Alligator mississippiensis: one gene and its partners. The protein of the gene in region 2 purifies or fractionates together with the protein of the main gene of each other region. This does not show direct contact. Links are inferred from orthologs where the notes say so. Each region holds a gene or a part of one and is shown on either strand. Other genes may lie near its edges. The genes, in order: NUP43, NUP160 and SEH1L.

Evidence for each region.
Region 1: the proteins of NUP160 (region 2) and NUP43 purify together in Homo sapiens (affinity purification with mass spectrometry; 5 studies listed by BioGRID and IntAct, counting the BioPlex papers as one, with this or other methods). This does not show direct contact. The link is inferred for Alligator mississippiensis from reciprocal best matches to the Homo sapiens genes NUP160 and NUP43.
Region 3: the proteins of NUP160 (region 2) and SEH1L fractionate together in Homo sapiens (co-fractionation; 3 studies listed by BioGRID and IntAct, with this or other methods). This does not show direct contact. The link is inferred for Alligator mississippiensis from reciprocal best matches to the Homo sapiens genes NUP160 and SEH1L.

Annotation. Positions count from the first base shown.
Region 1 is NC_081824.1:129,003,768-129,013,659, reverse strand, and holds the start of NUP43 (nucleoporin Nup43), read left to right. Parts: upstream 1-5,723; 5' UTR 5,724-5,764; coding exon 5,765-5,884; intron 5,885-7,528; coding exon 7,529-7,651; intron 7,652-7,862; coding exon 7,863-7,940; intron 7,941-9,890; coding exon 9,891-9,892. UniProt on the Homo sapiens protein: Component of the Nup107-160 subcomplex of the nuclear pore complex (NPC). The Nup107-160 subcomplex is required for the assembly of a functional NPC.
Region 2 is NC_081825.1:171,292,551-171,302,905, reverse strand, and holds the start of NUP160 (nuclear pore complex protein Nup160), read left to right. Parts: upstream 1-5,711; 5' UTR 5,712-5,747; coding exon 5,748-5,841; intron 5,842-5,923; coding exon 5,924-6,032; intron 6,033-6,135; coding exon 6,136-6,346; intron 6,347-7,114; coding exon 7,115-7,337; intron 7,338-7,968; coding exon 7,969-8,047; intron 8,048-9,668; coding exon 9,669-9,783; intron 9,784-10,355. UniProt on the Homo sapiens protein: Functions as a component of the nuclear pore complex (NPC). Involved in poly(A)+ RNA transport.
Region 3 is NC_081826.1:97,972,641-97,982,299, forward strand, and holds the start of SEH1L (nucleoporin SEH1), read left to right. Parts: upstream 1-5,468; 5' UTR 5,469-5,538; coding exon 5,539-5,649; intron 5,650-9,659. UniProt on the Homo sapiens protein: Component of the Nup107-160 subcomplex of the nuclear pore complex (NPC). The Nup107-160 subcomplex is required for the assembly of a functional NPC.

The DNA of each region.
Region 1 (9,892 bases), on a different chromosome or scaffold from region 2:
AGCTAAGAATCGCTGCTGTGGATGGCACAGAATGCTCATAATACTGAACACTCCATCAAAATTATTCTAGGACTTGTTCTACAATGCTGGGTTTGCCCAAGGTGCCAGCTTTGCTTGCTTGTTACACCTGTGTCAATAATGCCATATACTATGGCATTACCACCCTTTCAGTGAGTATGGTTTAGCGCTGTGTCACAACCCAAAGTTGTGATTTTGTGTTTTGTGTGTGCTTTGGCACTGCTAAATTATTTTCCCGCTAAATTGCAGCTTCTTTGCACGGTGGAGTTTTCTGCTGCAGAAGAGAACCCCGGTGCAACGGAGAATTCCCGCCAACTTGTAGCTTTCTTTCCATGGTGCATTTCTTTTTGCATCTAAGAAATGCTCGGTGCAAAGAGTTCCCGCCATTTGTATTGAAATTCGAATAACCAATATTATTGGTTCACATTAAATTATGCATACGTGGCGGCTAGCGATTGGCTTGCTAGCCGTATAAAGAGCTTGGGTGGTTTCTGCTCAAGTCGGAGTTCGAGAGAGAGAGAGAGAGAGAGAGAGAGAGAGAGAGAGAGAGAGAGAGAGAGAGAGAGAGAGAGAGAGAGAGAGAGAGAGAGAAACAAACCTTCGCCTCGCGTGATGATCTCTAAGCGCTGCGGATCCTTACGGACCCAACGCTTTTCTTAAAAGGCAACAGGGGCCTGATCAGCCTCTGGCCTCTCCCCATCGCCGATAGATTCCTAGATGTATCCCTCCCTGCGCGCAAAAAGAGATGGACCCAAGGAGCTTCAACAACTCCGTGGGAGAGAGTGAACTTGTCGTAGTCCTCAAACGAGGATTTAAGCGGAGCTGAGCCTGGAAAACTGTCTAGCCTACACCACGACCATCTTTGGTGTAAGTAAACAATCTTGAATCAACTACTACGCGTCCGTGACACATTCTAGCTCGCCCCCGGTTTTCTCCGACCCCGCGTGCCCGGGCTGCTGGCCACAGCCCGCGTGCGCAAGACGGGCCGCGGATCGCTCCCGGCCCGCGTACGTTGTACTTTGCAGTGAAAATATGTGAAAACCTTGGTCTGAAAAATAAAGTTTGACAGATGCATAAACATATAAAATGACCCCACTGACTTGCTGCCACTTCTAAGTGGAGCATGCAACACTGTATAGTAATTTAGATCAGGAATTGAAAAAGTAATGTGTAATGCAAATTTGCTGGAGGACAAAAGCAAGCTGATTCAACACAAATGATAAATTATCCAGAACATAAGTATTAGTGCTTGTAAAGTCTACCTGGCAGTACTGCAGGTCCATGACGATTACAACTTTAATAGGTGTATCAAAAATAGTTTGAACAGAGTATTTTTTAGAAAGATGTTGTGCACAGCTCCTATGCCCCTCTCCTCTAGCACAGTGCATGGGGGCAGCAAAGGACCTCATCAGTCCCTAAAGGGAAAAGATCTAGAGATGTCTCTCTATTAAGTCACTCTACAGCAGATCTCAGAATGCATGCTTGTACAGCCATTTGGGCACCCAAGTGAGAGGGAGATGGGTGAAGTGGGGTAGATAATGCCTCTATAGCATGCAGGTTAAATATAATTGTTTTAATTTTCCCCAAACATCAATAATAAAATCTCAATTACTTGAATTAAATCTCTGTCCTCTGACAGTCAGATAACTCCTCTAAGGTTTGATTTGTACATGTGTTCCTAGATGTCAGTGTATAGGCTAACATCTGCTGCTGCTTCCTTTTAAGCTGGCCAGCCTTGGGGAAACTGGCTTATTTTCTGTAATCAAGGGAACTGGCCAGCTGGCTCTAAACTCTGCACTAGGATCACAGGAGACCTACTTCAAAGCCTATTGGTCCAGTCCACTGATTATGTGAAGACATCTCTTGTTTAATGAGACCTCTGAATAATGAAGCATGATTTTCCTTAATTTTAAAACTGCTCCTTTCTGCAAATTTTGTCAAAAGGAGAGTGAATTCGCTTGAGATGTGTGAGAGAGAGTTCCTCAAATCGTTACATCTCTCTTAGTCTCAATGGTTTTGTATAACCTGATTTGTGAGGGTATAATGCAGAATTTTTGTACTGTCCACGTTAGCCTTCTGTGTGATGGCTGAGGAAAGAGATAAGGAAGATTATTACAGGTAATAACTTCAGAACAAGAGTACAGAAGAGAAGCTTAGTTATTATAAAGGTCACTGGCTATAGTGCATTTAAAGAGGGATCTTGCGAAGGCTTACACATATGCTTAACTGTATTGCAGTCTGAGCACAATGATAAGTCTTTGCAAAATCAGGGTCTTGGAGAGATGGGGATAAAAATAGAGGTGAATTTGCAGAGTGTTATTTGTGCCATTTCAGGCATATTCTGCCAGCTTTCATGACTTCAGAGTTGTATTAAAAAAGGAAGTGTGAAGGGAAAAAAACAATAGAATTCTATTTTCCAAGCTGGGGATATCAGCACCAGAGTGGCAGGGGCACAACTAAATCCTCTGCAGTTATTTGAATGCCATAAACAAATAATACATTTAGTCAATAGATTTACTATTATTTTAATACATTTTGGAACTGAAAAGGAAGGAAAGCTAAGACTGTTTTATTGATGTACACTTCAGTGAAGCAAACAAAGTACAATATTTTTACTAGTTGTTTTAAACGTTCTACAGTCACAAATCACCTGTGTGCCAACAGAGTAACCATTCTTGTGCATGTTCCTGGGTAAAGCAAGTCAGCTGTTAATTCTGGATGGGTTTTATTTCCTGGTAATATTTGTTTAAAGGATAAGGAGAATATCAGTTTAGATCCATCATCATTTTTCCCTCAGACAGATCATTCCCAGCAATCTGAAGGGATGCTCTAATTAGTCATTTCAGACAGACAAAAAAGACCAAGAACTGTGGTCCACTGTGCATGTAATCTATTAATGAAAGGTGCAAAGAAGGCAGAGTTGCTCAGTGCTTTTCCTCAGTTTTCACAATAAAAACAAACTGTGACCAAACAGTTAACAAAATATAGACAAAGAAGGGGAAGGACTATAACCATAAGTTAAGAGCACATCTGAAATCTCTTGACAAACCTGAATTAAAGTCATCTGGACCTGACAGAATTTATCCCAGTTTGCTGAAGGAACAAGTTGCAAAAATCTAGTTCTGACAAAAAGATTTGCTAAATCATAACTGACAGGTGAAGTCCCAGAAGGCTAGATACAGGTCAACATACTCCCTCCCAGAAAAGTTGCCAAACTAAATTATAAAACAGTCTATTTTATAAGTACCTAAAGGAAGAAGGGGTGGTTATTAATAGCCAACATAGATTTGTTAAGAACAAATACAGCAAAATCAGTCTGATTTCCTTCTCAGCAGGGAAGGTAATTTGACAGATGGAGGGAATGTAATGGACATAATATATTTAGACTTTAGAAGGGCTTTTAGGTATGGTTGTATATGAAATTTTCATAAGTAGACCATCTAGCCCACATTTAGGTGGGTATAATTGGCTGAATGACTGCAACTTGAGAGTATAAATGGATTAATGTGAGAATGGCAGGAGGTTTCAAGTGGGGTTCCACAGGGATCTGCTGTAGTTTAATATTGTTATCAATTATTTGAAAGTAAGAAAAAGAGTTTCCTGATCAAGTTTGCAGATGACAGAAAACTGAGAAGAGATGCAAACACTTTGGAGGACAGGATTAGAATTAGATTTTGATTGCTTGGAGAACTGGGCAGTAGGCAACAGAATAAAATTCAACAAGGATGAACAAAGTGCTACACCTATGGAAGAAAAAAACAAATGCATAATGGGACATTGGCTGGGTAGTGCCATTGCCGAGACATATCTGGGGATTTTGGTGGATCAGAGACTTGCCATGACTTGGCAATGAGATGCAATCTTCAAAAAAGCATATGTAATTTTGTGCTGCATTACTAGGAATCTAGTACATGTATATATTATTACCAGGAGTATAAAAGACATGCAAAAGAGATCTTACCACTCTATGCAGTGCTGGTTAGGTCTCAACTACTGTATTGTATGCATGGCTCCACAGTTTTAAGGATGTGGAGAAACATGAGAGTATCCAGAAGCAAGTGACAAAGATGATAAAGCAGTTGGCATGCAAGCTGAAAAAAGGTTGAGAGAACTAGGTATGTTTAGTTTGGAAAGAAGAAGATCAAGAGGGGGAGCAGAGGGGAACCTGATAATAGTTTACAAATATTCTAAAAGGCTGCCATAAAAAAGAGGGAGCAACTGTTCTTCCATGCTGCAAAGTATAGGACACACAGCAGTGGACTTCAATTGCAGCAAAGGAGTTCTAAACTAAAACCAAGGAAAAAAACACTTTAAGTGTAAGAACAGTAGGCCGGTGGAAAAAGCTGCTCAGGGAAGCTATGGTATCTCATGCAGTGGAGGTTTTCAGGAGGCTGGATCAGTGGCATAACTAGGGTGGGGTAGGACAACAGCCCCACGTGCCAATGCAGGGTGCCAGGAGCATCACACAGCACTCTGCAGCTGCTGGGTGCTCGACATTGCCCCACGCTCTGGAGCCCAGCATCCTCCCCCGCCCCTCCCCGAGGTGCTGGGCACCATTTCTGCCTAAGATGCCAAAATTGCTGCATAAACCTCTAAGCTGGATGGTCTGGGAATAGCAAATCCTGCATAAGGACAAATGATTGGACTGGATATCTCTTGAGGTCTCTTCCAGTCCATGACTCTAGGAGAATTTTCCAAGTTGGCTTTTTTATTGTTTTTTACATCATAACCACCAATGAGCCCACACTGGAGTCTGTGGTCTCCATCTTAGATGAGGTCAGTCAGTTGCACTTAATCTAAAATAAGGAACTCATCAGGAAATTAGTGTGGACTTCAAATGCTTGTTCCAAGACAGAAATGAGTACCAGAGAAGGAGGGAAAAAGTGGGAAAGAAGCCTTTAAGTTGCTCTGTAAAATATAAAGGAATAAAGGAGTATATAACTATCCATCATCTCAGATTGGGCCCTGCCTGCTCTCCAAGGTATATATATATATGTGCTTTCAGAGGTGGATCCAGGGCTGGGGGGTGCCCTGGCACAATTCTGATTCCCACTCTACCCAGAGATTAAAACCAAGTGCACGGCAGTGGCAGCTGCATGTTTAGTCAGGCAGTGCTGGGGGGTCTGTTGACTTCATGGCTCATTGCAATGCACCTGACACCCTGTAAACCCTTCCCTCCCTCCAGGGTGTTAAGGCCCCTCTGCTCAGCAGCCCCCACGTTCAGCGACCCCGTGCTGGGCAAGGCGCTGTAAGGTAGCGGCTCCTGGGGACGAAGCTCCCATTTCACAGCCTTGCAGGCTGTTTGGAGCTCATACCAGTGAAGTGACATCTGCTTTGGCTTCAGTCTTCAACGGAGTAACAACTCCCGGCCCGCGACAGCTTCTCGTTTACGGGTAACGGGAGCAAAACACACACGGCGTCATCTGCACCCACTTTCCCCGAGCCTCGATCCGCCCACGTCCTCTTTCCGCCGCATTTCACTGTCACCTCTCCGCGCCTATCGCCAATGCTCCAGCTGCCGGCAGTGCGGACTAACCTCCGCACGCCTCCCCTCTCCCTCCTTGCCTTTCTCTGGGGCTACGCAACAGCCAAAGACCCCGCCCCCTCCCGCAGCCTCTCGCCTTTTCCAGAGGCAACATTTTGTCCCTACTCGCTTCCGGTCTGCCGAGACGGCTCCCGGCCAATGGGAGGGCGCGCTTAGCGGCGGAAGAGGCGGGGCGGTGTGGGGTGGCGGGCGCGTGCAGGCATGGAGGATTTGTGCGCCAAATTCGTGTCGCAGAAGCTGAGCAAGGTCCGATGGCGGCCCGTGCCTGCTACTGCGCTGCAGCCGCCAGAGCTCTTCGCCACCGGCTCCTGGGACAACGAGGTGTGGGGGCGGGGCGCGGGCCGCCGGTCCTGGGGTGGGGTCGGGCTGGCGCCTGGGAATGAGGGGACACGGCTGTGACCCTGGCCCTGCTCTGGGGGCAGCCCCGAGCTCCTGTCTTCCTCGGGACACTGCAGCTCCTCGCCTTGTTACAGCCGTGTGGGTGTGCCTGGTCGCCCCCGCGCTTCTCCCGGCTCGCTCCCGTGTGTTTGTGTGCCCTCCTGTTGGGGAGGGGGGTGTATGTGAACGAATCCTCCTATTGTGGGGAGGGTACGGCCCTGTAAGGTGTCCGTGCACCTTCATGGTTATGGCTTTTTCTTCTGGGTAGAAAAGGTTCAGCCTCTTAGTTAATTTACTAAGTAGGTTTGTTGTTAAGAAACATCCATGCACCTCTGCAGGCTGGGGGCTGGCTAGTTGGGCAGCATGTCTGCAGAAAAGGACCCAGGGGTTACAATAAGCTGGATATGAGCTAGCAGTGTGCCATTGTTGGGAAGAAGGCTAACAGCATACTGGGCTGCATTAGTAGGAGTGTTGTTAGCAGATGGAGGGAAATATTTCTTCCCCTGTATTCAGCACTGGTGAGGCCACATCTGGAGTATTCTGTTTAGTTTTGGGCGCCCTACTACAGAAATGGTGTGGACAAATTGGAGAGAGTTCAGACGAGGGCAACAAAAATGGTTATGGGGCTGGCGGACATGACTTCTGTGGAGAGGTTGAGGGAACTGAGTTTATTTAGTTTGAAAAAGAGAAGACTAAGAGGGGATTTGATAGCAGCCTTCAACTACCTGAAGGGTGGTTCCAAAGAGAGTGGAGTTGGACTATTCTCAGTGGTGGCAGATTAGAGCTATGATCAACAGTCTCAAGTTGCACCAAGGGAAATTGTGTTTAGATATTGGGAAGAATTTTCTCACTAGGAGGATAGTAAAGCACTGGAACAGGTTACCCACAGGTGGTGGACTCTTCATCATTAGAGGTTTTTAAGACATGGCTAGACAAAGCCTGGGCTGGGATGAATTTGTTGGGAGTGGTCCTGCTTTGAGCAGGGGGTTGCACTAGATGACCCCTGAGGTCCCTTCCCTCATTTTCTACAGCTCTGTGATTGGTTACTTAAAAAGCCCATTAGAGTGATCCCACAGTTGTTAGCTGCAGCCTCTGCCTCTATTAGCAATTTTCTAGTTTCAGCCTTTCATTCAGTTGGCGATCCCTTTATCATCCTTCTTGTCTCTATACCAGCTTTCCCTACAGAATGTGTTTCTGGCAGAGGAGATCTGGTTTACCCAACTGACTTTTTGTTTTGGTTTGTTTTTTTTTGCTGTCTTGCATGCATAGGAAGCAAAGTCCTACTGGTTCTGAACTGTCAGTCATTGTCAGCTGTTAAAAGCATTTGGATCACAGCAGGTCTTTTAGCCCTCTTTAGTCCCTTTGCTCCTGGTGTTCCTCAGCTTTGTCATTGACTATTAGAGCTCATCCTGGAGTGTTAGCTCGTGATGTCTGATGGTAGTTTTTCTTAATATTGGTCCTTTATTTTTCCTTTTCTTAAACTTGACTCTTGAAAGAGGTTGAAAGCTTTGATGTATTGACAAATTTGTCCAAACCTTTTTCCAATAAACTAGCATCACTAATCTAGTGATGCTTTTTCTCCTACAGGAAAACAAGATTTCCATTTGGTCTGTTGGAGATGCTGAAAGTGTGTGTCCCAATGGGGAATATCAAGGAGAACCACAGTTGTTATGTGATATCAGACACTATGGTGATGTTATGGATATGCAGGTAAAATATTCAGTGTTATTAAAATGATTATAAAAAGAACAAGTGGATGCCAAAATATTGAAAGTCAAATAATTTTTCTGAGGAAGGGGAGGAAATACATTTTTCAAACATTAATTTATGTGTATGCTCTGAAATCTAGACTACTGTAATGCCAAACCTATTTCTGTGTTGTTACATGTTCATAGTAGTAAGCTTAAGTATTTCTTCTTAGTTTTTGGATCAAGAGAGAATTGTAGCTGCTTCATCAACTGGAAGCGTAACTATATTCCGTCACCATCAAAATAACCAGGTAAATAACTTGTTCTGGCTATAAGTTAAACTTTGCTTTTTGCCATTTAAGCTTGTAATGCAAGTTGCTTTAGTGCTTGCGAGGAAAGATTCCTCAGGGGAAAAAAAATAAATCATGAAGTATCTGAAATTCTGAGTACTAAAATTGTGAAGAATTACAAACCACCATTTTTAAAATGAGGAGAATGGTACCATGTCTGTCTGGTTTTTTTTGTGCATATATGGAGCATTTCGTTAATTATCTGATAGACTATTCACCTGGGGGGAAGCATGTGCCACAGATTCTTTTTCTGTACTCATGTCACCAAATATGCTTACAGCTTCAGTGAATGGACTATAAATACATGACTTGATTCAGTTAATGGTGACTATTTCTGATTCTTTCTAATGATGCTTATTTTTTATGAAAGAATACCATCCTCCGTGTGTGTGTTGCCATTTTAATTTAGTTCTTGCTACTGCATAATAAAATGAACACAGAAAGGGTTGTTATTTTGGCAGTTGCTTTTCATTACTGATATTAAGTTAGTTTTTTAAATCAAAATCCAATTGCAGGTTAAATCCTGTGAAGAGACTGGATCCAGGTAAATGACCATCACGGGTCAAAGAAGATTCCCAGCTCATAAAAATAAATGGTGTACTTGGTTACCTGAGGAAGGGGAGGAAATACATTAGGCATTGAATACTACACCTCAGTCCACATTTTTTTTTTTTTCCCTGTTTATATGATAAAACATTGGCTATCTGAATATTGGTTAAAGTGCACAAATTCATAGGAACTCCCCAATGTACTTAGTAATGTAACTGCACTCATTTAACTATGTAATTGAGGACTCCTCTAATCAGTTCACCAATTTCATTTGGTTTCAAGACAGCTGTTGAAGACCTATGGTTAGGGGTCTACCTAAATTGCATTGGTATTTACTAATTTTCAGTGGTTGATCATGACAAAGTTCTAATTCTGTGGTCATTTTGTAGCAGCCCTGGCCCTCAGTGTTGATTGATTGGTAGAGTGTCCCCAGTGTGGGGAGGAGGGATGAGGGGGCAGCAGCTGTCTCTCCTGCTGCCCTTTGTGTTGCCCTGCCAGCTGGCACCTTCCCTTCCACGGCAGTGAGGACTGCTGGCTCCCACTGGGGAGCAAGCATTTAAATTATTTTTGTTGTTGTTGATTTTGGACAATCCCAGATCTTTGCGGTTTCCACACAACCTGCCAAACCGCAAATTAAGTAGATCCCTATCTACAGTATTTTGGAAAACTAGATAATGAGCCTTAATGAAGTGTAAAAAACTTAGTTCACATTTCTCATTAAGTTTGTATTGAATTTTGCTAAGTGCATAGTCCACTTTCAGTCTTGAGGCTTTGCACTTAAATGAAGTACAGTAAAATTTCTGCTACGCGGCATTTAACTAACTGGAAATTTCATTAACTGGAATTTCCAGTTGGCCAACCAGACACAGAGGCGGAGACAGGGGAAAGCTTGTACGCAGCAGTAACTGCTGCCACCCAGCACCTGTGCTGCTGTTATGCTTTCTTGCCCTGCTACTGGGGGTTTTCAAATAATCAGAATTTTTACATAACCAGCAATCCCCTTACCTTGGGGATGCTGGATAACAGAGATTTTACTGTACGTGAGAAATTGACTTTTCTTTGCCAGGGTTTCTTTTTACCTGCTAAGATCCTGAAGTAATTAAATTGAAATGGGAGTATTCAGGTTCATCAGTCACCATCCTTCTTGGGACATAGTGTGCAGTTATGCATTGAGGAGTAGAAAGAAATAAATTACCTCTCTCTTGCTACTTGAAAGATCCTCAGAATAGTATAGTTTGCTCTTGTTTTATCAGAACTAGTCTCTGATACGACTCCTAAATAGTTCAGAAAATTTAGTTTCTCATGCTGTGATAAGAGTGCTGAATAGAATACTTATAATTTATTTTCTATTTGCTATTTTAGAC
Region 2 (10,355 bases):
CACCCAGCTGGGGTGGGGTGGGGTGGGGAGGCAGTCACAGCTCTGCACCAGTCCTGGGGTTCCTTTATGCTGGGTGCTGCACAGGCCCCTACCAAAATTAGGAAGTGCTGTGGGGTGTTGACTCTCCCTTGGTACGGACCTCACCGGCACAGAACACCCTTTGCAGGTGTGCTCAGCACAACAGCTGCAGGACTTATCTCAGGCTGCAGAAAATAGCCGGAGGGAGGGGGGGGGGCATAATGAGGATGTTATGGGGATAAGGGCTTCAAGGTAGATTCCCCAGTTTCGGAGTGAGGGAATATTTCATACCTATGGGAGTGTCCAGTTGGCCAGCACAGACTATGGTGTCCTTGAATCTGCTCTTTAGCTGTCCTGGCCTATTCCATAAAACACTGCTTCCATCTCCTGCTGTTTGGCCCAGAGCATAGGATGCTATGCTGCTCCCACGTAGTCCCCCCAGGGTGGCAATAGTAGCCCTGTGTGTCATGGGTTGGTGCAGTCACAGTCAGCTCTACCTCCACTCATCTTCTAGTACCACTCTTGTGGTACCCACTCTGTCCCACTGCTGCATCCCTGCCAAAACAGCTGTAGATGAAAAGCCTATAGCACCAGCTGGATGGGGCTGTCTGTCTCTTTTTAGTTCCTCTGGCACATTGTTAGGGGGATGTGAAATTGGACAGCCGGACTCCTGGATTTTTTTTCCTTACACTTGCTGGGTGAGGCCTGTGCTTCAGTTTTTTCCTCTATAAAGGTGTGTCTGGTTCTGTTGAGAAAGGGCACTGGAGATCCCAAGTAGCCAGCCTCTACCCAGGTATTAGCTGCCTCTGCATCTTGCACATGTTTCACCTCTCCCTTCCAGATTATATCCTCCCTTGACTTTCCTCCCTTGACTTCCATTACTGTTGCCTTGCAATGAAGGGTGGGACACCAGCATGCAGTGGAATCTGGTAAAGTGCTGGGGATTGGTTTAGCATGGGCCACTGAGTTGCCATGAAGCACATATTCCTCTGGGTTTATGGACTGCACCTAGTTGGGGAGGGTGAGGTCTAGATCCAGAATCATGACTCCTCAAAGGAGAGGTCAATATACAAGAGCATGGACATGCAGGCACTGGACCTACAGCAATTCCTCCAACTTCAGACAGTGCAAGGTATCCCAGTGAACTAGCTTGTCCCTTAGCTGGCTTACCTGACACCTCAGGTTTACAGACAACTCAAGCAATGTACAACATATCTCAGCCCTGACGTGTCCCCCTGACCCTGCACACCTCCAACCATAGTTCCCACATCCTGCCTCAATCTCCTTTGCTCCTGCCCTAGCCTAATTTCTGCTTCTGAACAGCTGATCCCAGTATCCTGGATTCCTTGACCACAGTTTCTGGATCTTGGTTCTTGCCTTGGCTTCCTTAGTTTCAGAGCCCTAGTTCAATTCCTGACATATTCTTTGGAACCTCCTGACTTGGATGCTGGTTCTGCCTGCTTTACCAGACCACCTGTCTTACAGTTGGGTGGCAGGGCACGTGTGGGGCCTGGGCAGAATGAAAGGGAACCAAAGGGGATGGGCAGCGGGGAACAGGACTTGTGAAGAGAGATCATGAAAGACAGCAAGATGGGGCATGGAAGAGATCGGGTACCCATGAACTCCAGTATGTTGGTCTGAGAAGCATCAGTGCCAATGGTGAGCCATGGTACTTAGTTTGTGTGGAGGCCCTGATGTGATGGGGCTGTGATCTAGCATTGCCAACTGGTCACAGGAAGTGGTTGACCATAAGGCAAGTAGCCTCAAAAGGTGTTGGCCTCAACTTTTTGATCCTTGACTCCCAGCCCTATCAGCTTGAGGGGACCTGAACTTGAGGACCCAATCCTTATTCTTCCCATGCCTTAGGGTTCCTCTCTCCTATGCATCATTTTCCTTCACCATACTATTGGCTCCTCTCTCTCTTTTCCCCTTCTGTTTAATTACATTCTGGCTTTCATAGATTTCATAGACATTAGGGCTGGAAGGGACCTCAGAAGATCGAGTCCAACCCCCTGCCCAAAGGGCAGGAAGTCAGCTGGAGTCATAGGATCCTAGCAAGATAAGCATCCAGTTTGCTCCTGAAGGTGTTCAATGTGGGCGCTTGAACCACCTCCGGTGGCAGGCTGTTCCAGACCTTGGGGGCTCAGACAGTAAAGAAATTCTTCCTTATGTCCAGCCTGAAACGGTCTTGTAGTAGTTTGTGACCATTCGACCTAGAGGACTGCAATTGGGGTAGGTGAGAGTGGAGGGTGGGTCCACAGACACGTTTATTGTAATGGAAATTGTGGGTTTCTTAATGCAGTTTTAAGATGTGTGATGGAAAGTTTATGATAGAGGTATATATATATATATATATATATAACTCTCTCTCTCCCTAGAAATATATTTAAAAAAATAAAGATCCTGGGGGCTCCATGGAGATGGGCTTGGGCCAGTGGGATGGGGCTGCAGGTGGTGGGGAGCAGCGTTGGGGAGTGGGACAGGCGGGGACAGGAGTGCAGGGTGGTGGCAGCGCAGGGCGGTGGCAGCGCAGGGCCAGGCCAAGGTGTCTCTGGCACCCCTGGCCTGTGTAACTCGCTGTTCACTTTACTGCGCAGGCAGAGCTGGGGGCTAAAGCCCGAGGCCTGCTCACTGAGGCGGGATCCACCCAGCTGCAGCTTCTCCCTGCCTGGCCCCAGCTGTGCACTGCCTGCTGTGGTACGGCAGGGGCAGGAGGAGCCAAGCCATCCCTGGGCAGCTGCAGACCTGCTGAAAAGCTGTGCACGCTGCCAGGGGCAGGAGCATGGAAAGGGCTGCCTTGGGCAGGAGCGGGGGCTCAGCCCCAGGCAAAGCACCACAGGGACAGCCACCAGCCAGATATGATCAATTGGCGGGTGCCAGCCTGTGGGCTGGATCCAATCGGTTGGCAGGCTGCAGGCAGTATTTTGCCTACCCCTGCACTAGCACCACATCAGAGCATTGGGAGAGCTCTGTGCTGGATTTGGGCTACCCAGGGGAATTAATATACTAGATCAGCAGTTCTGAACCTTTTTCAGTCAACGTACCCCTTGGTCTCAGAGTGAGACTTCACATACCCCCTTTCAATGGGAAATTAATTTTTATGTCAAACTATGTGTAATCGTGTATTATAAAAATGGCAAGATCCTCATACAACGACTTTTTCATTTTAAACAAACTTTATTCCATGCACAGAAAAAGTGGTGCAAACCCCCCCCCCCCACACACACTTAGCATCAAATGCCAAAACATACCAAAACTTATTAGTGCGAACCCTGCTGCTGCTGCTTACTATCAACCAACATTTTAATTCTAGGCGATGTTATCTCACATACCCCCGGTTCAGAACCGCTGTACTAGATTATAAGGAAAGCAGCTTCTACTCCGGGCTACAGTTAAATACATGCTTTATGCTTTCTTGAATCATGGCTTATGCCTCTGCTTTAAAATCATGCACTGGTAGGGTTTTTTCCGGACATTGTCATGTTGCTGGAGGAATTTACTTAGCAAACTACTACTGCAGCTTTCAGTCACTGCTCTGTGACTTTCCTAAGTTCAGTAACTCATTGGAAAATTCATGTCATGCTTGTCTGCTATAACCCCCAACTGCCCTGCCCTTAAATAGTAACAGGAACATTAAAAATCCTTCTGATGCAGCTAGAGTTGGAAGCACATTTTGTCCCTGCTTTATTTGTATTCTGGGCCTATGACATGCGATCTGTTGCAGTGGAAGCTGGGATTTAATTTTGATTGTCAGGTAGCAAGGAAAAAAAACCCCTCTTCCTTTCAGCATTTTCCATTATTTGCCACCACCAAGTAGTGAAGCACTTTCCATGATAAGTGCATGCTTCACGACCCCAGGCAAAGAAAGAAATGATGTACCCATTTAGCTACAGCATGGTGTCTGGACTGTAATCTTTCTCAAATGCTTCTGTGTTGAAAAATATAACTTGATGATTGACAGTGGCCCCATACTGCAGATTTGATCCAAGAAAAGTTACAATGTTTAGCTATCTGCAGCTACAAAGCCAAAGACCCTGTAGCCATGCTGGTTTATGCAGCCAAGAACCTGCCCAAGGGCTTTTATGAGGGTGAAGTTGGTACATTATTTCTAGTTTCCAGTTTGTCATTCCCCATTCCAATGTCAGAGTTTCTCTTCCCGTGATTATAAATTTGTTAGCAATAAAAAAATCATGGCAGAGCTCTGTATTTCATTAACTATGTATATTGGCTAAAGGACTGTAATATAATATCACATATCAAGAACATTGTGCTGAATAAGGGGCCAAGTTTGTTTGGCATTACAGGGTAAAATCCATCTTGGGTCACTCCAAAAAACACAACTCCACCATTAGGGTACTCTCCAGAAGAAGGCTGTGCAGGGCCCTACCTGACCCAAAGCTTGATTTCTAAGCGGCCTGGTGTTGACTGACAGCCCCCCGGGCCTGACTACCGCGAAAGGGGCCGCAAGCAGGCCCTCAAAGGCTGGAACTGTGCCAGCCTGCATGGGAAAAGCCATGGTCGCCCACAGGAAAATGGAGAATCCATTTTTAAAGTTTGCTCATGACTGTTTCATATATTCTTGTGACCCACTTCTGGGTCATGATGACACACCCACAGGTTGAGAAACGCTGATGTAGCCCAACCCCTTGCCTCAGGCAGGATCATTCCTATCTAAACCATCCTGTACAAATCCATAACGTAACCTCTTAGTAAAACCACTCGGTCAACAGTGACACAGAGCGGATTGAACACCCTAACCTGCACAGGTAATGCTGGGGGGAGGGGCGGGGGCACAGCAGTCAACATCCTGCTCTTGCAAAAGGTTGTTAATATTTGCTTAAGAGTTTCACAACAGAGGAAGCTTGCTCTGAGGGCTTTATGGCTGAGGGCGAGCAAAACTCAGGGGCATCCAAACCCCAAGCCTGCAAGTAGGATGCCCGCCAAAGGTTTTGGAAACATGTGAAGCCCAGGCAGATGGGGTGGAGGATGTTTGCCAGTAGATGTATTCACTGACTGCCTGTCTTGCACGAAGACCAGCCCAGCCTGGCTTCTTTACTGTTCATTCCAGGCAGGAAGAGCACATGCCCACTGCTGAAACTTCCTCAGCCTGACAAAGGGTTTTTAAACCCAAAAGCTTGCTAAAATAAAACTCCCAACTATTTAAGTTGGTCTAATAAAAGACAGATTCACCCCAAGAACCTTGTCTGCCCGCGTCCTTACACCAACATGGCTACAACCTACACCCCTGCCGGTAGCAGGGCCACTTAAGGTGCTGGACTCCTCGATTTGGAATTGGTTTGGGCTAATTTGGCCTCGGATGCAAATCTAATAAAAATAAATACATTAATAATAATTTAAAAACAACTAGAGGAAAGCAACCCCCGCCCAGGCCACACCAATCGGACCAGGAACAGACGAACAAGACCCCGTAGCAGGGCCCACCTCAGTCAACATGCCCCCGGGGCCTCTGAGAAGAGCGCAAACCCCCCCTTAAAACCTTCAGACAAGTCGGCGGGGGTGGAGCAGACACCCGTCCTGGCCCCGCGCCACAACCAGCGGAGACGGGAAACGAGGAACTCGCCTCGTCCTGCCCCTAGGACGCCATACTGCCCGGGCGCGGCGGGGCCTCCCGCTGATGACGCGGCAGCGGGATCCGCCCCCGTCCCGTGAGCCCCCGCGGCCGGGCCGGACCCGTGGTGCCGCGCGGCGGCGAAGCGCGCGAAGGGAAGATGGCGGCGCTGCCGGAGCGGAGCTTCATGGAGCTGAGCGCTGCCGCGCGGGGCCCGCAGCGCCGGGCGCGGGAGGTCGTGTTCAGCCCGCCAGGTACCGCCCGCGGGCCCCGCGCCCCCGCGCCCGGCCCCGCTCCGGCTCCCCGCTAATCCCGGCCCCCTCCGGCTCCCCACAGGTGCCAGCACCAGCCCGGGCGCGGCGCGGCTCGGGGACAGCGCCGGCGGCTTCTGCTACCGGGAGAGCGCGCAGCTGGTTTCGGCCACCAGGAACCGCTTCATCCACTGGTGAGGGCGGGGCGGGGCGGGGGTCCGCTGCCCTGGGCAGAGGCCGCGCGGGGGCTGGGGGGACCTGGTCGCCGGGTGTGAACAGGCTGCGCTGCCCCTGCAGGAGCACGGCTGGGGACACGGTGGAGCTGGTGGAGGAGTCCCTGGATGTGAACCTGCTGAACAATGCCGTGCGGCTCCGGATCCAGAACTGCCTCCTGCTGCCTGGAGGGGTCCACCTCTGCGAGGTGCAGAACCACCTCGTCCTCCTGATCGTCACCAACCAGACCGTGCACAGGCTGGTGTTGCCCCACCCTGCCCGCATGTACAGGAGTGTAAGTTGCCTCTCAGCTTTTTCCTTCACCAGCCCCGGTGATGAGAATTGGGCTGCCCAAGTTCAGCTGCCCAGAGTAGGGGCAAGGGACCTAGACAGGCATGACAGGAAACTGTCTCCTGTGGGGTGGTCACAGCTAGATGTATCGCTTGGCTTACAAAGTAGGAAGCGCTCTTGTTTGCATGGGCAGGAAGGTGTGGCTTGGTGCAAATTTCCTGTGGGAAAAGTCATTAGGTTAATGTTTTTTCTCAGTATCCTTCCTGAGGTGTTGCGATCTCCACTCCCTTTGGGTCACTTGTTCCGTCTCTACATTTGCAGGATCAGGCCAGCAGACCACCACCTTAGCTCCAGGCTGTTTCATAGAAATTTAACTCATGGCACTTGCTAAGAATGAGCTGTTTAGACTTGAAGCAGGTATTGAGCGAAACACTGGTGCAGGTGTGGACACTGCCACTGGGATGTTAGCAGGTACGGGAGGGAGGGAGGGAGAGAGAGAGTAGGATCTAAGTTCCTGTGTTTTGGCAGCTCTCAGTTCTACCTACCCTTTGAAACTCACCCTTAAATAGCCTAGCTTTGCTGGTTAAATAAGGTAGAGAGACACAGGTTTGAATTTAGCTGATTTTCATTGGAAAGAACTAATTTCACAAAGCAGGAGCTAGTAGTTTTTTAAAGGTATTTGTCATTCCACGGACAAATCCAGTTTTACATTTTTCTAACCGCTCTTTGTGCTTTTGCAGTCTGGAGTCTTTGTTTTTATTTTATTTAACAGGAGCTGATCACAGAGAGCCAGATGCAGTCTGTATTTACAGATATTGGGAAGGTTAACTTTAGAGACCTGTCAAGCTACCACATGATCCCCAACATCCCTGGACTGGCATCTAATTCCACAGCCTCAGCTGCTTGGCTTAGCAGTGATGGGGAGGCTCTCTTTGCTCTGCCCTCTGCTTCAGGAGGAATTTTTATCCTTAGATTGCCACCTCATGATGTGCATGGTAAGAACTTAGAGCAGAGCATGTCCTGTCCTGCCACTTTGTATTTGTGTAGAATGTGTCATGGAAGAAAAGTCTCTAATCCATGGAAAGCAGCCTGTAGCCAAATGTAAGGGCCATCGTCAGTTGCTCTTTATAACACAATGTAGCCAGCATATCCCAGTCATGACAGTGCCTGTCTATGATATAAGAAGCAAGGTGGCTAAGTTCTAGCCTGCAGTTCCAATGGGGGAGCACTTTGAGGGGGCTCAGTGTGGGCAGGCTTTAATGTAAATAATACTTGTAAATAGTTCCAAGTAGGACATTTGGATGCCCCTTCTCACCTTGGGAGCAGATAGCAGTCTAGGCCTGATAGCAGAGAGTCCTGAGGAAGATCTTTTCCCCTTTTTCTCTGAAAAGGGCCAGCCTGAGCTTTTCCCCTTCCCCTCTGAAAAGGGCCAGGCTGATCTCTTCATCTTCCATGACACTTCCTATTTTGGTTTTCGATTTCAGCTGCCATTGACTCTCTTTTTAGTAACTGTAACAAAAATGAATGCTAAATGAGGCAAGTTGCATCTTGTATTAGTGACAGTGAACTATTGCATCAACAGCACACATCCCCTATACGCAGAGCTTAACACTTCTGTTTTTCTAGGAATGGTTTCTGTTGTGGAGCTGAAGCAGAGCTCAGTGATGCAGCGTTTGCTGACAGGCTGGATGCCAACTGCTATCAGGTTAGTGTTGTCTGGTGCCAAATAAGTGGGGCTTCCACTTTTTGCAGGGAGTCTTAAGATGGCTTCAGAGATAGACAAGTGCAGGGAAGGTGATAATGCAATTATATAGTGCTTGTTTTTGGTTACACAGATCACAGTACATGACTGCACCTAGGAGTGAATATATATAGTTAATTTTACAGCACTACCTCTGGATCTATATGTTTGTGGTTTTGATTAATATGTAAGTGGTTTAGCTGCACTGCATCTGGGAGGTGACGGCAGGTGGGGAGAACTGGTGGCTGCTCCCCACCAGCTGGAAGCTGCACCTGTGCCACAACAGAGCAGCGGGAGACTGGGAGAAATGGCAGTGGCACAGGTTCAGCTACCTCTCCCCCGTGCAGGTTGTTCTGGCCTGTGCTGGGAGGAGGCTACGGGAGGGGCTACAGCAACACCCCCCTCCCCCCCCCCCCCCCCCCCAATTTTGTCATAGCCCTCCCTGTCAGTGCCGCTGCTGCCTACCTGTTGCAGCCCCAGCTCTTTCCAGCATGTGGGTGGAGGGGGTTGAGCCGGGGCTACACTGGGTGGGTGGTGGCAGCACTCGGAGGGGTGGTTGAGGGAGTTGTGGTGAAATTTGGGGTGGCTTCTGCCCCCCATAGGCCCCTCTCAGCACTGTGGCTGCCTGTCCTGAGCCCAGCCCCTGCTGAGAGGAGCCTGTCGCAGCCTTGGCTCCAGCTGGCAGCTGCAGCCTGCCCGCCCCACATGGATCCGGGGGGTATGCGCCCCCCAGATGAGCCGTGGTTCCCTTCCCTTCCCCCTCCCCTTCCACCACAACAGACTTACCAGCTGCACGCAGCTCTTCAAGCTGCTGGGCTGTGCTCCTTGCTGCCTGCGTGCTGTGCAGCACTCTGCAGGTAAGTCTGTGGAGGGGAAGGGGCATGGGGGTGCAGAATGAGGCACCCACAGTGAGGGAGGGAATGGGACTGGGGTTGCTGCCCAGCCAGGGTGGTGAATGGGACCCAGGGCAAAAATTATTGGCCAGATTATTGGCTGTGTTGGGCCAATTTCCGATGCAGCCAATTTTTCTTTATATTGGTGCTGATCTGATATTGAACTGATGTATCGCTGTACCTCTGGTACTTATAGGAATGTTTGACCTATCTGTCGGTGTGTAGTCAGCCAGGACTGTTAATGTTGGTTTGTTTGCTTGGAAATTGCACTGAGGCAGGGTTGACAATATATGGCTCTGAGGCTGGATCCAACCTGCTAAGTAATGCTATCCTGCCCATGAAGCTGAGTTGGTGACAGCATTTCTTTGGTGGGGGGCAGTGACGATGATTCCATGGCTGGGTCAAGAGTGTAGTGCTAAGTCAATAGAAGTGACTGAGTTGGAAGTGGCAGCCAAGTTGGAAGCATGGTGTTGGTAAGAGGAGTGGCAACCCACCTTCAGAGCAGTCTGTGCTCATTTGGCCAGTCAGTCTTAAAAGGTTATCAATCACTGCTCTAAAGCCTTGTCCATGCAGGGAAGTTTTTGTTGTGTAACCAAAGGGGTGAATTTAAACTAGTATAGCTATTTCAGAGATGGCTTACTAAGTTATTTTAATCAGTGTGTTTTTTGTTGGTTTTTTGTTTTTTTTTTTAGAGGTGGCTGTGGCCCTTCGGACCTTCCCATCAGCCTGTCTGTTCACTGCCTTGAACATGATGCCTTTCTCTTCGCTCTTTGCCAGGATCATAAGCTGAGGATGTGGTCTTATAAGGTACATAAACATGTTCAAGTTCTAATATGATTAATGACTGGTAACGCTTCATCTGGATGATGCTCTAGGCCAGGGTTTGAGTTATAAATATGAGATACAAAGATTAGATGATTGATGGAAGATTAATTCTCAGACAGCTGAACTGGACTGGTAGTGTATCAACTCTACCAGTTGTTAGTGTATCAACCCTACCAGCATTGATTAGTTTTTCAAAAAATGTTCAGTGTCAAGACTTAATTTCCCTTGGAAACTTCATGACTTAAAACTATCCTATGAAGAATGCCTTGTTCTTCATAGAATTTCCTGAGGGAACATGTCAGTTTGTCTATCACAACCACATAGGTGGTCCAATAAAAAATACTACCCTAAGAAATCCTTGCCTCTGAAATAAAAGTGTATGGCATTTGGTTTGGAGAGTTTTATGCATTGCTTTTCTGAGGTGCACAGGAGCTCATCAAGGGGTAAAGAAAGTACCTCAGCCTTTCAACCCTGATGGTGACTAACAAGGGTGGATAATGTAATTTGTTGACTTCTTGACAAGAAGACTTGCACTTAGAAAGCTCGTGGTCTGC
Region 3 (9,659 bases), on a different chromosome or scaffold from region 2:
ACACCATTGTATATGATTTCTTTCATTTGGATTATCCACCTTTGGACTTCTGTTCTACATTAAACATTGTAGAAATTACATAAAGCACTGTTTGCTATTGAAATGAATTAGACTCATAACTAGGGATCTACTGAAATCGTGATTGTGCAATTTTTGTGGAAATCATGATTTTGAGTGGGCTATATGCCTTTGGTGGGCTCACTACAAAAATAAATAAATAAATAGAACTGGCAATGAGAAAAGCATGCAGGAAGCATGGCAGTCTTGGAGTACAGGAGGGAAGGCAGAGGGGGGCAGGGTGGGGTGGGGAAGATGAAGACAGGGAAGGGCAAAGATAGCTCTACGGGGGCGGGATTATGCAAATAATGGAATGAAGAGGGAGGGAGGCTGAGTGATTCCCAATGAGAGTGCTGGTTGGTGGAACATGGGTGGGGTTATGTACATGATTAAATGATAGCTGGGGAAAGGAGTGGGAAGGTGGCATTGGAAGCAAGATGATGCAAATGAAGGATTGGGGCTATGGAAGGGAGGTGGGGTTATGCAAAATGCAGGGAATGGAATGGAGGTGGGGTGGGGCTGGCTCGGCCCTCTCCCTCCCCCTCCCCCTTTCTCCCCTGCCACCCCCTCCATCTTCCCCCTCTCCCCGTGCTCCAAGACTGCATACCCCAAGGTATTTCCCCTGCTTCTGGTCTTTGCTGGTTGCCCACTTCCACCATCTGCTACATATGTCAGGGTGTTTTTAAGCCTTCCTCAGAGGTGTTAGATGATGGCCACAGCCAAGGCTGGGGACTTTAACTGGGGATCAGTAAGGAATTTTACCCCATGATCAGATTGGTACAGATGGTGAGGGTTTTTTGCCTTCCTCTTTAGCTGGGGGTGTGGCCATTTACCTGGGACCTTTTGAGCATATTTTGACAACATTTAATAGAAGCAGGACATTGGGTGCCATGGTTCTCTTGCTTTACCTGTGGCAGGTTAGGATGTTAGGTCTATGTTGTATCAGGGTTGATGGTAGTCTTATGTAGAGTTTAGGTTACGGATTTATATAGGATGGTTTGGATAGGGATGATCCTGCCTCAGGCAGAAGGTTGGATGAGATGACCTCTGGAGGTCCCTTCCAGCCCTACTTCTCTATAACTTTATGATTCCGTTTCATCATGAGCCTCAGGTTCCCAAAGCTAATCTGCCTACATAATGACCTGGTTTACTCTATCATATCTGAGTCTAATTGCTATATAACTCTGCTTGCATTTTTGTAATGCCTTCCATCTAAGAATGTCAAAGTTCTTTACAGACCCTAATTAACTTAGTTCCTCTGTGATAAGTAAGTATTATGATTTCGGTATTATAGATTGGGAAAAGTGGAGCACAGATAAAAAGTTACATGACTTTCATTAGGGCACATAGAACAACTCTATAAATGGGAGAGAACTATTGAACAGTTATCAGTAATGGGCCACTCTTGACCCAGTACAGTAGATAGTTAATTATTGTTGTAGCTGTGTATAAAATACCTTTTCAGCACCATTACATAAAGTATAATTAGCATTAGTTGTCATAAATATATCTTTCTTTTTTTTGGAGCTAGAACTGAAGCCTATGGAATAGGTAACTGCAGACCTTGGATATCTTCACTCTGAAGAATGTGCCTAAACAAGTGAACCAGTGATTCTCAACCAAGGTGCCATACAATCCTTTTAAGGTACCACAGAATATTAGTATGTTTGGTGTGCAAACACCTACATATGATTCATAAGAGACATCAAAAGAAACAATAAAAATGCCTTTAAGTACATTAGAAGCCAAAGATATGCCAGGGAGTCATTTGGGTCTTTGGATGATCAAAATGTAAAAGGGGTGCTAAAGGATGACAGAGCCATTGATGAGAAACTAAACACATTCTTTGCATCTGTCTTCACTGTGGAAGATGTTAGAGAGATTCCCTGACCAGATCCACTCCTCTCTAGGGACAAGTCAGTGGAGCTGACTTCAGCTCTCTTAGCTACTCCCAGGTGCAGTCTTGGGTCCCTGACCCTGTCTCCACCTCTCCCAGGAGCTGGGCCCCTAGCCCTGACTCTGTCCTTCTCTGGGCTAAAGGTCCCTGACTGTGTCAGTGGCCCCCTCAGCCTTTAACCCCTACCCCTGGGAGCTCCCTCAGGCAGTGAGGTCTACAGCTGCCCCTGTGGCACTCTGCATGGGGCTGAGCTCCACCTGCTCCTGCCCAGGGTGGCCTGCACCATGCTGCTGCCCAGGGTTTGATTTACACTCTGACTCTTGATGCGGTCTGCAGTGGTGGCAGCCGTAAGCTGGAAGGAGCAGCCGCCACCGCCTGAGCTGCTTAGAAAGGTGCAGGGCAGGCTGGGAACTGTCATCTCTTATGGGGGAGCTTATGGGAGCCTCTCATCTCTTATGAGGGGGCTCTCATCTCTTATAGGAACCTAGGAGGGAGGGTGGAACCTTTTTTGTTCAATCCAAAAGTAAATATTTTGAATTACTGTTTACTTTTGAATAATTGATTATTGGTAAATTTTAAAACAAGATGTCATTAAATAAATGTTGTTATTTGTCAGCCAAAACAATTTGACAAAACATACATTAATTTGAAAATCATTTTGATGGACCTAAACAATATATTAAAAAAATGATACTTTGACTGAAAAAAATTACTTATTCACTAGTTGTTCTTTTGCTTTAAGCTTTGACTACATTAGTAGATCATGCAAACTGCAGAATAATGGCTTTTTTGACAGATGAATCACTCAATGACTGGAAACAATTCTTCTGGAAAAAATGAGGCATTGTTCTGTATAAATATAATCAACCATGTACGGTAAGAGAGAGGCGTGCTTCACAAAAAACAGCAAACAAAAATACCCATTTAGGAACAGTACTGTGAATTTAAGAACTTAGAAAACATTAAAGCTGTTTTATATTACAGAAAATGTGTAACCAGCTAGCTCTTTTGAAGAAGCAGTTCCTTAGGCTACAAGAAGTCCTACTGCCTAAACGTCCCTAGACATTGCTTTTTTCTGGTTAGCAAGTATTGGATGGTCCCAGATGAGTGCACAAATGCACAGCTTTGTTATTCTACTTTATTTTACAGTAAAACCTCTTTGTATTTCAGAAATGTGTAATTTTATTATAATATTCAACAACATTTGATTTCGTTTTAAATTACAGGATTGCAAACACCAAGCATGACCAACTTTACTTGTTTTATCATTATTTACACTGTGCATTTTTTACAGCTTACTTACTATATAGCAAATTATGAAAAATTAACTTAATTTTTTTTTGCATAAGATTGAAAAATGTGAAGTATTTTCAAAGCTATGTGATTATAGCTCTGCAATCCAGGCTGGCATCTTTTTTGAAGGCTGATTCTTACAGTACAGCTTCAACATCAAAAGCATTAAAACATCACTCCTATCTACTCATTCATTCTAGGTTTCCATTCAAAATTATCCATCCTATTTTTCAAAACTCCCTACGAATTTGCTACAAGTGATTCTCCAGGCTTGACCAAATTCCCTTCTGGAATAAGAGGGCACGACTTAATTCCTCTAATTTCTAGAAGGACGATTTGCAAATCTTCCTCTGCTGGTTAGCGTCTTTCTCTCTATTCGAACTCATACATCAAAGTGCTTCTGAGGCATCGCTTCTTGAATATTTGGCTGTCAGTGTAATATACCAAAATCTGAACTACTCATCTCTGTTCCATAAGCCTTAGCCATCTTTCATTCTCCATAGCTAGCAACAGTTTTACCATTTTTCCTGCCTAATGAGCCTTCTTCAAGGTACAGGTGTTTTAAACTTTTATTATAACACTAGCTAATTGCCCGTCAAGAATGAGGGATTTTAGAGTGTTTACATGCCCCGCCTCCTCACCCTTCAGGGCCAGCCATGTAAAGACTCCTTCTGCTGTCACTGCCTCTTCCTCCAGCCTCTGCTGCAGGGGCTCCCTCCTTCTGCCCAGTTCCCTTCCCCTCCTTTCCTCCCCGCCACCTCTCCTTCCCTGCCCACCACCGTGACCCCCTGCTGCTTCCCTTCCTTCCTTCCTTTTCCTTCCTTCCCTGCTGCCTGGCCCTAACAACAGCCACCACCATGACCCCCCCTTCACCTCCCCCCCGCCTGTCCAGGCCCACACAACCTCCCTCCCTCCCCACCCTGCTGGCTGTTGTTGAGGCCCCCTTCCCGTTCCCATCCCTCCCTTCCTCCCTCTCTGCCACCTGGCCCCAGGAGCCACCACCGTAACCCCCATCTTCACCTCCCTCAGCTTCGCTCCCCTCCCTTCCTCCCTGCCGACTGTTCTGGGGGGTGTCAGGGATGGGTGATGGCGGGGGGGAGGGTGTGCTGCCACCATCTACCCCACTTTGCCCTCAGGCAGGGAGGCATGGGGAAGCTTTCCTGCTAGGGGGCATGTTTGCCACTACCACAAACTTTGCTGGCAGTAACTCAAACATGGGCCAGCGCAGCCAATCGCCGCCTCCCCTCTCAGTGGTGCATGCAGTGCATGCAGGAATGGGGCACAGGACTTCATAGCTGTTTCAGTGTTTGTAATTAAAGTAAAGCAAATTGCTTCAAGTCCTTTTCTCTTTTTCTGTTTCTAGTGAGGGATCACATTTTCTAGGACAGGTGCTGTGGGAGGTGGGATCCTCCCCATAAGGGAACGTGCAGGAGTCACACTAGCATGAAGTAAAAGAGGGGGACCACAGGGGAATTATAAAAGGACCTCTTGAATGCATGGGTGGATCTAGGATTTTGAAAAGGGGGGTGCAGGTGGAGGGTGCAGGATTTTGAAGCAGCAGGGTACAACATCCCGTATAACACAAACACATTGTTCCTTAAGTGAAAAGGCAGCTAGAAGATCTACTAATATGTCAGAGGCCCAGTGCTGTATAAGATCGAAGCAAAAATATAACTTTATTGGAACGTATACTCATTTACTAGGTTATAAACTTAAAAAAACACAACAAACTTGCTAAAAGAGCCCCAAGATATTGTTGTATTAGCCCTGCAGCCACTAGAGCTCAGCCTACATCTCTCCTACAACCAAGTCTGGCCTTCTGGAGTGTCCTGACAGCGCACCCAGCCCTTCACGGTCAGTCGTGGCTGCCCCTGGGTTCACGTCCACCTCGGCCAAAGTTTGCAGCTAGAGTTGGGAGCAGGATGCAGCGCGGGGCGACCCGAGAGGCTTGACCAGGAGCGGTTAGTGGGCACGACGGGGGGCGGGGCTAGCGTTCTGCGAAGGGCGGGTGCGGAGGGCGAGGTGCGTCGTCTCCTCTAATCCGACACATTTTTCTTCAGGGAAAAGGATCACGGCGCCCCCGGCTGTCATGCGACACGGAAGCAGACACAAGTTGTGCTGCCAGGAGCCCGCAGCCCGAGCGGCGCCGACCTCCCGCCGCTGGGGGCGCTGTGCGGGCGGGGGAGCGGCGGCTTGGCGGGCGCACAGCGCCCCTTAACGGCCGCGGGCGGGCAGGGTAGGGCAGGGCGAGCGGTGCCGAAGGTCGGCGAGCGGGGGACTAGGCGCCGAGGATGTTTGTGGCGCGGAGCATCGCGGCGGATCACCGCGACCTCATCCACGACGTCTCTTTCGACTTCCACGGGCGGCGCATGGCGACCTGCTCCAGCGACCAGAGCGTCAAGGTGCGCGGGGAAGGGGGCGAGTCCAACCGTAATGGCGGGGGTGAACCCACCCCTCGCGCCTGCTGTGGTCTCGCCCGGCCTTGTTGGCGGCCGTTGGGCGAGTCGAGTCGAGTCGTGCTGTGCTGTGGGGGGGGGGAACCCCCTGCCCGCTCCCCCCCCCCCCCCGGCGTCTGCTGTGGTCTCGCCCGGCCCGTTGGCGGCGCGGGCGCAGGCGGGCCCTGGCCCGGCCGGCCTGCGGCAGCCACGTGGTTCCGGCGGCGGCGGGCGGGCCTGGGGCTTCCAGCGCGGGGCCGAGCCGTAGCCCTTCCCTTGGGGTGCTGCAGGAGCCATTTACGTTAGGTCCTGCGCGTGTGCGGGGCTGCGGCCGCTGCTTAGGTCTTTGGGGTTGGAGTCTCCTCACTTGCAAGTGCCGGGCCCGGAGGGAGACTGTGGCTACGGGGACGCCCCGGGGCCTGGGGCAGTCTGCCAGCCCCTTCTCCCGGCGGGGCTTGGGGGGGTCAGTGGGTGCTGGCTCCGCTCCCTGCTCCCCCTTGGAGCCCTCATGGGTAACTTTTGACCCCCCCCCCGACCCCTTTCCCGCTTCATTATTGCCCCCAGGTTTTGTCTTCCGTTGCCTTCCCCATGAAGGGAGGCTCATAGGTGTCTTTGTGGGTGTAGGCCTGCTGCAACCCCATTGCACGACATGCCAACAGCTTGGTTTTCAAGTTTCCTTTCACTAAGTGGAGCCATATCTGCCTTTCATATGCTGGTTTTATTTATTTACTTATTTTAAAAAAAGACAGGCATTGTTAGCAGGGAAGTTCCCCTAGAAGGTTGGCCTGGGCCTCTCTTTTGTTAACAAGGTAATAAGGGAGAAATTAATATATTTTAAGCAGACTGCGAAATGTACTACCTCTTCCTTTATGAGCATCTGCAGTCACAGCTGCATCTGCATATCACTTGTAAAATGTAGGTGATGAGTAGAACTGTATCACTTCAAATTAAGCTGATATAATGTAAAAGATAACATACTTAAGGAAGGTGTGACTGTCTGTGAAGGTGAAGGAGTAAGGTTTAATAATATGTTCAGGGTTTGCTGTTCATGAATGGTATAATGCTGCTTTTTATCATAGAAACTTTATGTTCAGTAAGTCTCATGCAGTCTCGCATGTGTGGTGGTATTCCATTTTTGGTCTAGTTTACTCTACAGGGTATTGTAACCTGAGAGATTGCACTGTCAAGTAGCCAACATCATAGCTAATGCTGTATCAGAGTACCATGTGAATGTAGGCTTGCAGGCAAAATTATTTCCCTTAAGTTTGCCTAGTGAGCAAGAATAGATTGCATATGCCTAGTGCACTTACTCCTTTGCTGTGATTGGTGACTTCTTCAGCCACTTATGTGAAGGTGCCACAGAGCGCGTCTACATGAGATGCTGACTACGCAGTAGCCTAGTACTTCTGGGCAGTAGTGTCATGTGGCAAAAACTGTTACGTGATGCTACTGTGCAGTAGTATCACAAAAAAGGTACTGTATTTGCCAGTGCTGCTCTGCAGAAACTGAGGTTACTGTGCATTTATCTAGTACTTGTTAGTACATGCATTAAATAAACGAGCAGTAATAACTGCGCAGTAGCATCTTGTGTAGACTGTCACAAAGATCCAGCTAGATTGCCCCCATCTTTTTTGGTATGTGAGATTACTGAGGAAAAGAGAGTGGAAGTGATTTGATCAAGGTCCTATACCCAAATGAGAGACATTGGGCGTAGAAAAAAGACTCCTAAACTGTTGATCTTGTGTTCTGACTGCAGATGTCCACAAAGGAAGAGGTAGTAAATTTCACAGTCTGTTTAGAATATATTAAGTTTTCTCTTACTTACTAACTTACACATTTTTGGAAATGTTTGAAGCAAGTCTTTGGCAAGATTTGCATCTTTTGTAGTACTGATATAACACTGTTACTTGTCTAAATCTATCTCAACCATGCAGTAGGTCCAATAAAAGATATCACCCATAAAAACGCTTGCCTCACACATGTTCTGGACTGTCATTTATTTTTACAACATTTCATATACTGTATTTATTTGATTCTAAGAAAAGGTTTCTCCCCTCATTTAACATTGGGGAGAAAGCCCCTTCACTTAAAATCAATATGAAGGCAGTGGGATATGTAGTTGCAGCTGCTCTCTGCCCTCACTGCCAGCTCTGCACTGTGCCATCTCCCCCTGAAGTTCCTTCCTCCCATGTCCCTACCCCGTGCAACTCTGCTCCTCTACCTGCCCCTTTCTTCCCCTTTCCACCCCCTTACCTATGCTTCATGCCAACAGGTTTTAGCCATGCTGCAGTTTGGGGCACTGCTGCTATGGACCTGGGCTAGGTCCGAGTTTAGGGCCTCAGGCTGGAAAGGGTCTAGAGCCTTTCAACACAGAGTAAGGATAAGGGAACAGGGAAAGCGGGGAGCAGTCTGGGGAGGGGAGAGGGGAGCAGAAGATTGGGACAGGATGGGGGAAAGGCAGGGCTAGGGCTGGGGGTGGGGTGGGAGGCCTACAGGGGGTAGAAGTGGCAATGTGGCAGGCACATGCAGGTGGCAAGCTACTTAACCTCTCCATGCAACCTGCCTCATTGCCTGCCCCCCTGCAGCAGTGGAGGGCATGAATTAAAGGCAATCCTCCAATAATTAGTTTCTCTACATGGGAATTTATAACAAATTTATAGTTTTTCCATGTAGAGAATCTGACTGTTGGGGGGTCATCTTGAATACAAGTAAATACAATATTTTTAAATGTCAGTCACTTGAAAAATGTTTCCATGTAAGTGCTGAGTTGCATTTGTAGTCACCGCATTAGGAATATTGAAATTTTACTTGTTTAGACTTGTCACCTAAAGTCCCAATCCCCCCCACCATTGTCTTAAAGTTGTAACCTTTATCTGGTCATATACACATTTGGCCCTGGCAATTGTGCCATTAATGTAATGCCTAACAGGTTAATATGTGATGTGACATATGTTAAGCCAATTTATGGTGCCATCAAATGGTAAACCAGCCACAAAGATGTTCCACATTTGCTCCAGATCTTTGCTGATCTTTTTGTGGCTGGTTTGTTTGGTATTATAAACGGTGTGTGGCATGTCACAGACATGAGGCTGCCCCATCCAGATGCTGACAGTAATCTGATTGGGGCAGGCCTGGGTCTGGCACTGGGTGAGGAGCTCTGGGATTCCCTACAGTTTGCAGGTTTGCTGCCTTGCTCTATAGGTCCCTTGGAGATGGCAGTGGAAGGCAGCAAACCTGCTGGGTCTCAGGGAGCCCTTCCCTTAGATTGTGTAAAGGGCAGCCTGAGTGTCAGCTTGGGACTTAGGGTGGTTGCCCTAGTCCAGTATCAGAGATTGGCCACAGGGCAGCTGTGTCCTAACCAGGGATTGCTCCCTGCTAAATCCTGATGATCAGCTGATTGTTGGTATTGGCACAGGGCAGCCCTGACAGCTGGGAGTCTTGTGATTGTGGTCTGGGGCATTTTATGCCTGATCTCTAAAATTGCTCATGAACATGTAGCATGGCAAGTTGCATGATTTGGGGCATAAAAATCCTCATACCTCAGTTGTGACTTCTTTAATATCTCAGCAGCCACAGAGACAGTCATCATTCCACATCTTCATTATTATAAACTTCCGGCTTGAGTTTAAATAGGACATGAGATCCATAGGGGGGGTGGGGGGTGAAATTTACTAATTTTGGTGCAGTCATGCAGAACATGACCTTTTATAAATAAGTTCTTGCATTTTTTTTTTTATTTTATTTTTATTTTTTTTTTTAAGAAACACACTTCCTGCAACTGATTCTGCAGAATTGATCTCTGCAAGGAACTACTTTCAAAAGAGGGGTATAATAGCATACTGGGATAGGGCAGGGTTTTAAGGGGAAAATGGAACTGCATGGTATGGCTATTTTTTTTTTTTTTTTTTTTTAGTTATCTATGTTTTCCAGTACTACCGTGGCAGCTTTGTTCGCCTTCCATTTCTTGCAGGCTGAAA